Linked DNA regions of Bombyx mori. The protein of the gene in region 1 purifies or fractionates together with the protein of each later gene. This does not show direct contact. Links are inferred from orthologs where the notes say so. Each region holds a gene or a part of one and is shown in the gene's direction. Other genes may lie near its edges. The genes, in order: proton-coupled zinc antiporter SLC30A2 and protein-L-histidine N-pros-methyltransferase.

Region 1 (4,624 bases):
TTATTGTTTCAGAACGGCTCCATCGCTAATGTATAACTAATTATGTGATCGACAGAGCGGACAAACAGCCCGACTGTATTTTTTTTTTGTGTCAGTCCACTGATTTTTAACCCGCTTCCTACAACCGCGCGCCCGCCGACTAGGCGCGTTAACACCTCCGCCTCCGCCATTCGCCCCATCATGATGTACGACCAACCCATACCGTGGGCCCCCAAGGTCAGATACCTAGGCGTCACTCTCGACAGAGGGACGATATTCCGCCCCCACTTAAAGACAGTACGCGACCGTGCCGCCTTCTTACTAGGACGCCTCTACCAGATGATTTGTAGGCGAAGTAAGTTCCTTAGAAATAAGGTGACACTCTACAAAACTTGCATACGCCCCTACATGACCTATGCAAGGGTAGTGTTCGTTCACGCGACCCGCACTAACTTAAAACCACTCCAAGTTATACAATCCCGTGTTTGCAGGATAGCCGTCGGAGCCCCGTGGTTCGTCAGGAACATCGACCTCCATGATGACCTGAACTTAAGAGTCCATCAGTAAGTATCTACAGTTGGCATCAATGGGCCACTTCAATAAAGCGGCACGACACGAGAACCCTCTCATTGTGGCCGCCGGTAACTACATTCCCGATCCTGCGGACAGAATGGAAAGCAGTCGACGTCGCCCAAAACACGTAATTTCGGATCTTTCCGATCCACTAACGGTGCTTTTAGGTACCTCAAGCACCGGTCATGGTTCTTGTCAAACCCGTCGCTTGCGACGAAGGGGTCGACGAGTACATTAACCCACAGGCACAGCCCACTGAGTTTCCATTTATATTCTACAGGTAAACTAATCTACAGCTAAAGTCTTCTGCTAAGTTTTAATTTCACTTAGGAACTCCTTAAAGTTTCTCGGAACGGAAGTGCTCTTCCATTTCCAAAGATTCGAGTTTTAGCGCAGTCCACCCGTGCAATATAGACCGTTCTCATAGTAATTTCCATAGATGGTTCTGATTCAATCATTCATCTTTTAAATCACTTTTTGGCCATTCCACCAAATTGTTCATGACCCTTGGTACCAAGCAAGTCAACATATCAATTGACCCAAACTATAGATTGATGATGTTGCGCCTGCCTAGCTCATTTAACGAACTAAGTTTAGGTACTCTAGCCTCAAACCGGATTTAGTACCTTGAGATCGCCTTGGCTATCGCAGATAATTTAGGTAGTTCTATCTATGTTCCCCTCATATTTTTAGCCACAAAAGTGTAAATTATACGTATGTCTTCGTATGGAAGAAATGGCATCTACGAATGCAAGATTGAGTCCAGGGTTCTTTATAGAATAAAAGTTATTCAAAGCTTATTACTTTATTTGGATCTTTAATGCTATTTCCTTCTATTTAGTTAACATTTTAGAAATGTAGGGTAAAAACGGTTGATATTCTTCATTTACCTATTAAAAATGCAAAGAGTTTCTTACGATAAACAATGAGTGATCATGGATGTTGTGATAATTTTTTTTCTCAATATAATTTATAGGAAAGAAAATCCTCAAAGTGTTTCCGTATCATCACAATAATACGGTTTTGACTTAATGACTAACCACAGACGTCTTCCCTTGATTCTTTACAATTTACGGGAACTTTTTATCACTTTATAAATTGTTTGATAATCAATGAATTTTAGAACAACAATAGAGTTTTAGCCTTCATTTGTGTTCCGATTCCGAAGTTGAAAAAACCACCTTTTTTCGGGCATCGGACATTAGCATTCGGCAAGATTCATACCTTATAAAAATACCCGACTAATTTCAAGACATCTGAAATTGTTAAAGTTAATGCGGAGAACGCGACCTCGCTCACTTTGTCGATTACCATTGTTTTGTTGACAGCTTAATATGTGGTTTGGTTAGTCGTTTTAAACGTCAGTCGATTCGCGCACCTGAGATTGACAGAACAACGCGCGCAATGTCATCACATTTAATTAACGAAAAATATCATAATGATACAAAAATAAATACATTGAACGCGTTCACTGATAAGAATTTAGTACCATTGAGTGGTAGATATAGATCGAAAAGTTTGTCTAGTGATAAGTTGAATAAAACAAACGCTGATCGTGCGGCTATATTGGAAGATGTCGAGGTCCAGTACATAACAGACAAGTCTGAGACACCTGGCTGTCTCGTCGGAAATAGAGATATGGTCAGCGGACAACTGAATATAAACGGGTGAGTGAATTTTGTTTACAACGCCCACACATAACTAATGACCTTTTGACAGATTCGGAAGGGTTCAAGTTAATAAAATTATGACAAAACTTAAAATAATACATACTTCAAATAATAACAAAAATAGTATATCGTTGATTAAAGTTTAGTAAAAACTTTGGCGTTTAAAAATTAAAGTTCATTCCATAATGTTGAAACTATGAACTCAAATCACATTTATAAGAAATAGCTTTAAAAGTACCAGTTAATTAGTAAATAGTCAAAAGCCAATTTTAAATTTGAATTTAAAATGAAGTTATAAAAGTAGTTAAAGTTAACTAAATTTAAGTTTAAGTTTCTAAATTAAAGGAGTACTTGGATGGATGGATGGATGGATTAGTGTACTTGAAATATACTTAGAAAGTGCTCACATACAGAATGCTATAGTTTTAAGTTAATTTTATGTCAATTTCAAATATTGACATTTTAATATATTAATTTTTTTTATACTGGGTTTATTTATAGATAAAAATTAAAATTAATATTATATTTTATATAATTTAATTATAGATAAAAAAAAAAAAATTATGTGTGATTAAGTGATTATAGTGACATTGTAGATGTCTATGGGCTCCGGTAACTGCTTAACACCAGGTTGGTCGTGAGCTCGTCCACCCACCTAAGCAATAAAAACAAAAAAACACTATGCCTTGGTACATACCTTATTTGGTACATTCTAACAACAAAAAGTCCTTAAACTTTTAAGCTGCTAATTACACTGTTTTAACTCTTAAAAGTTCAAATTGAGACTTTTAAAATGGATAAGGATAATTTCTGTGTTACAATTTGCTTATATTTGGAAAAGGAATCGTAGAGTTTATTGCTGATTCCTGTCACCAGTGAAATAGGAATCTGAATCTGCAGTAGCTATGTCAGCTTAGATCTACTTGAACAGTAAAACCTTTTTGAGTGATTTGTTTATGAAAACAAAGATGGGAACAGACCCACTTCTGGATTAAAAATGGACCATAATATTGCACTACTTTCAAGGTATAATCAATTCAATTCAATTATTTCAATTTCAATATGAAACACCTAAAAAGATAAGCCTTTTTGCTTAGTCAAGGAAATTATTAAATTTGTAAAGTGTACAATTAATAACTCGTAATGGGAAATTTTACCCTACTATCTGCTTAGACTATGCTGGGGATGAATAATTGTCGCAGTGTATATTAAAATTAATTACAAAGATTTCAAATTGCAATGGTTACTGTAGAAACTTGACTGCACAATGCATTATTAATCTTTCACTTGAAATGTTTATCGATGCCTTAAACAGAGCTCTTGAGTGCATTTATATCAATGTTATGTTATGATAAGAAATAATGTACAATGCAAGATAAATAAACTGAAGATCTAAATTATTATATTACATTGAAGGCCGAAAAACAGGGGTCTTTGACATTATCACATTATTTTTCTAGGCTAATCAACAAGTAATCTTTATCAATAGCTGTCATCACTATATCAACGAGATCCCTCTTAGAAATGTTGCTCCAAGCACTCATGAATCTCACAAGTCAGACATGTCATCGTAATTTAACTTTTATTTTCAATAATGTTAGCAGAAAGCCATAATTTAGGCATTACACAATGTATAGGTACATAAACCCTGAGTTTCTACCTGATTTTTTCAGTAGCAAGACTGTAATCCATACTAGTGGTAGTCTTGACTGTGATATAAAATATATCTTTGTATAAAAACTTTGTCATTTATACTATTGTTCAAAAAAAACGCTCATGAGTAATCCACAAAACAAACTCGATAGGCCCCTATTTAGTGTCCTTAAATTATTCATTTTGTATTCTTATTTAACAATATCACATCACAAAACATGAAATGCAAATAAACTATAATTGGTAAGAGTTTGAAGCAAACATCTTATTTCTATGTTATGTATAATTAATTATTAGGTTTATAATAGTGCCTTGGTACATTTGAGGATATTGCAACCCAAAAGATGTAAATATAGGATCCTGTTATCAACAGGCATACACGGGTGTCGCCTTTGGAGCGGGCCTATTTGGGTATACTTTTAGCTGGCACGCACATGCGAGCAATGTTGACGTGCATACACGTGGATCATATATACCTAGTCAGGTCATAAATTCTGTCACATGTTTAATATAAAATAATTGAAACAAGTTTATTCATTATGTAACCATTCATATACCAAAATGAACTTAACAAAACATAGATTCTTATGACACTAAAGTTTATTCAAAATGACCTCCGTGATTTTGAATACAGGCCTTCATTCTGCGCGGCCAGTCATCTATCGCAGCACGAACGAGGTCCATGTCAATATCGACGGCTGCCTTAATCAAGGATGTCTTGAGTGACTCCAAATTGGGATGAGGCTTTG
Region 2 (4,346 bases), on another chromosome or scaffold:
ACATTTTTCTCACTTTCTGGGCTCGACATAATATCATCCTGTAGGGTTTACCTCCTGCCATTTTTGTAGAAACATAGACCTGAAAGTGACAAAGCAGCACACTCGGTCACCCTCGACCAAGAGTTCGACTTGCGAACTAGCCCTTAAACACAACCCACAAAATTTCTCGCCGGATTTTTTCAGTGGTTCGCGATTCTGATCCGGTAGTAGATTCAGCGAAGCACTGCTCTTGTTAGCAATTCTTTCAGGTTGAGCCCGTAAGCTCACCTACCGGTCAGCGTGAAGTTAGATCAGCCCCTTAGGCTACCACCGATTAATTGAGGAAAAAAGAAACCAGTAGGTACTCATGATTTTGTTATTGGAACTATATCATTATACCTACTATTCGAAAATACAGTTCACCTAATTTCGAAATGCTTTTGTTTTTATAATAACCGTTTCGCTGAATTCGACTTTACCGTAAAGTTAGTTTTAGATCTTTTTTTGTAACGGTTAAAAAGTGTTTGTCAAGAGTAGCGGTGACGGACATAGCCAGTGAACGGACGGTCACGGGCAAGGCCAAACCAAGATTATATATTCTTAAGAATTTAAATCAAATAGATCATTAAAAAACGACCTTTCTCTATTCAGTGTTGTGTATTTAAACGCGTCGACTGCAAAACGTGATTCTCACTATATTACGTGTCATTAAGTGATTCAGCACGAAGTAACGGTGTACCATCATAATGAATTTAGTGCTGCGAGAGATAGTGGCAAAAGCTTCGATTGAAGCTAAACAAGAATCGGTTAGTATTATGTTTTTATGCTTACCCATCAATAATAATTATTGATAAGGAAAGTTTAAGGGACTATTTATGGAAGATTGAATAAATAAATAGCTTGTATGTACTTAGTTACACACCATAGTTGGTATTAGTGCTGTATTAGCAATGGTACTTACTACTAATGATAACTTAAAATCATATAAGTTTCACGATTTGCATAAAATAGTAAACCACAAGGGTCACTTTTATAAAGAGTGCGCAAGTGTAGGCTTAAAGTGACACAAATACCTAACACAGGTATTATATTTTCGGATTTTTTTTAAGACATACCTAATGTGGTAAATATGTGTTAATTTAAAAAGTTACTTAAAAAAGGCTTACGCCACACATCAATCATCAGTTAATCATACAGTCCTTGTTAGTCCTTGTCCAGTTACTATGCCATGGGATATCTACCCACTTCGAATAAAATTAAGTTGGCCATGATAAAGTAACAATGTGATTTACGACCATGAGATTTTCTTTTAAACATATGTAATTTATAACTTTGATGATATAAAGCAAAATTATGCGTTATAGTAAATATAATGAATGCTTTTCATACCATACATTCAAAATTGTAATGCAAAAAATATAAATGAAAAACGAATGAAACAATTTCATTGATTTCAAAATGTTAAATGTAGTCCAATTTTAATGACAATTTAAAGCTTTTCAAGATTTTTTTAGAACATTTATGGCAACACAAAAACGATTCTGACGTTTGTGTGACGTTTGTGCGAAAACCAAAACAAAGACATAAATTTCGTTTTTTTAGTGAATTGATTGTTAATAGAATTTTGCTGATATTAACTATTGCATATACTACACACAGTATTGTAATTAACTACTGAAGATGTATGGATAACACTTTTTTGTAAGAAACCGCTAAAGTGAGGTTAACTAAGAAGAAAATAAATTGTTGATCGTTCTGAGAAAATTCAACATAGTAAACTAAATGAACCATACTCTTCTATTACTATGTAGTTTCATGCTGCAGTGTTGTGCGTTATCAGAGAAGCATTTAAATGTATGCTTAAGAATTGACTTATTTTTTTATGCAAAGGACTGCCAAGCATTCATCTTAAGAAGTAGCCAATCTGAACACACAGGCTATAAGAGGTTTCTATTAGAAGAATTAATAGTAGAAGATAAAATGTCAAGTGAAAGTAGTTTTTATCGACCAAGGAGTGCACTAGCCCGAGCACTGTGTGAGAAACAAAACAATGATAGATATCTCCAGGAACTCGATCAGAATGAGGTAAGATGAATAATATTCACGTGAAAAGTAATAAAACATTAATATAAATAAGTTTCTTGACAGCAATTAAATTATCAATATTCTTCTTCTTCTATTTAGATAAAAATGAATTGCTGTTCATTTAGTCATGCTAAAACTCTAGAACGGCTGGACCGATTTGACTAATTTTGGTCTTGAATTATTTGTGAAAGTCCAGAGAAGGTTTAAAAGGTAGATAAATATGAAAATGCTTAGAATTAAATAAAAATAACAATTTTGTTTTGCATTTGATGTGTCCTCCCTTGGACGGATTCCTTTTGTTTGTGTTAAGTTTATTTTATACAAAAGTTTAGGTCCTTTAGTTATCAATTGAGGCACTACGAAGTCTGCCGGGTCAGGTAATAAAATATAAAATTTCCAAAGGAAAACTTTTATTCAAAACAATGAAATTTTCTACTAATGGAATTCATGTAAAACTAAAATAATGATACTAGGTCTAGAATTATACTTCATGTGTGCATATGTAATACCAAATGAAAATGTTTTAGATACAACTGCACTATGAACAACCCTGTAAAAGTACTATGTTGAAATTTTTTTTATTGCCTTTGTAGGCAAACGTCTATGTGGCCCGCCTAATGGTAAGTGGTTACTGTCGGTTATGGACGTCAGCAATGCCAGGGGCAGGGCCAAGCCACTGCCTACCATTGAGTATTCTCTGCAAGCCGTGTTTGAAGAAGGACATATCATATCACACATTTATCACAATTTAAGTTTTTAAGTTACATTGAAGTACCATATTTTAAAATTTATTTACTATCATTCTAAAACTGCTTTAAAAATTCAAAATTTCAAAATTATAAGCAATATTTTTTCCGGTCAGTTGGTAAATGATTAGTATCTTTAAGAATTTTTATACTTATATGTTCCAATAGTTGCTAGGGCACCTAACTACTTTACAATAACATATATATGTAAAATAAGCAAAAATAAAACATCTAAATACTATTTTCCCTACCCTCCGTTTGCAAGTGTTTCTCTTTTTTTTAATAGCAGATTTTTACTGCTATCAATGATGTTGTTTTTAGGGAATAAGTAGCCTTTTTTTCATCAATGCATCTTCTTTCTGAAACGCATAAATAATAATAAGTCTTTAAATAATAATAAGTAATTGAATAAACATTTAAATAGTTAAATAGTACATTATCTTCCTCTCTATTTCTGCTCAAAATCAGTATTTGCCATTTGTATCTGGATATACTTGTCCACTTGTATGTTTGAAGACTTAAAAAAATTTAATTGCTTATTCATTTAATCCTTAGTCCTTATTTTTATTTCATTATTTTTATAGCCTTTATTTATTTAGTCCTTGTCTTAAATGGAATAAGTACATGTAAGCTTATAACTTAATTTAGCTTAAAAGATCATGACCGATTTGCCTGCCTTGTTTTGAATAACAAACCTAAAATGGCTAAAGCAGAATAGGAATTACTGGTAATATTGAATTAAAAAGCAAAGTGAGACTGTGCAATCACATGCCTGAAATTTAGATCCTTAGGATCTTAAGTGAAGTTCCTATTACAACGGCTATTACACCTCTTGAATAAACTCAATTGGTCAGTTTTTTCCAAGCTCTGTAAAATTCTCTACGTCAACAAAGAGCTGTTTGCCTTAGCCTTACTATTCCTAATATCCATAAGCCACAACAATTTCTCACCATCAAATTGGCCCTATGCTTGTCTGCATTAGGAGGCAGTAATACAAAGATTAATTGACTTTCTTTAACTATCTCTTTTTACAAGAGGTCTCAGCCACCTGGCTGTTTCCCTAATCCTGCTGATCTTCATGAGCTACAGTGACTACTCACCATGAGCTTGGCTGTCTGCCTTTTTTTAGGAAGTTCCATTAAGTTGTTACCTGAACCCCATTGATTGACATCATTGTGATTATGCCACTCTGAGGACAAATTCTCAATTGGAAGGCATCCTCTTGCCACAAATAGCCACGACGGTGCATTAGGACTCATGGGAAGATTTTATGCCTTTAATCTATGTCTTTGATCTCTGCCCTTGAGACATTACCAAACAAACGGGCCGATGATGCGCTTGTTTTTTTTCACCTGGTGAACAGCACCTGGAGTTATGTGGTTACCGTAGTCCATAGACATCTTCAAAGTAAATGCCGCCAACTACCTTGAGATATAGGTTCTAAGGGCTCAGTACGGTTACAACGGCTGCCCCACCCTTCAAGCCGAAACGCATTACTGCTTCACGGAGAAATAGGCATTGTATTTGCAATGACCT

Evidence for each region.
Region 2: the proteins of proton-coupled zinc antiporter SLC30A2 (region 1) and protein-L-histidine N-pros-methyltransferase purify together in Homo sapiens (co-immunoprecipitation; 3 studies listed by BioGRID and IntAct, with this or other methods). This does not show direct contact. The link is inferred for Bombyx mori from reciprocal best matches to the Homo sapiens genes SLC30A2 and METTL9.

The regions. Positions count from the first base shown.
Region 1 is NC_085111.1:18,805,608-18,810,231, forward strand, and holds the start of proton-coupled zinc antiporter SLC30A2, read left to right. Parts: upstream 1-1,815; 5' UTR 1,816-1,956; coding exon 1,957-2,219; intron 2,220-4,624.
Region 2 is NC_085117.1:14,585,223-14,589,568, forward strand, and holds the start of protein-L-histidine N-pros-methyltransferase, read left to right. Parts: upstream 1-1,508; 5' UTR 1,509-1,761; coding exon 1,762-2,064; intron 2,065-4,346. UniProt on the Homo sapiens protein: Protein-histidine N-methyltransferase that specifically catalyzes 1-methylhistidine (pros-methylhistidine) methylation of target proteins.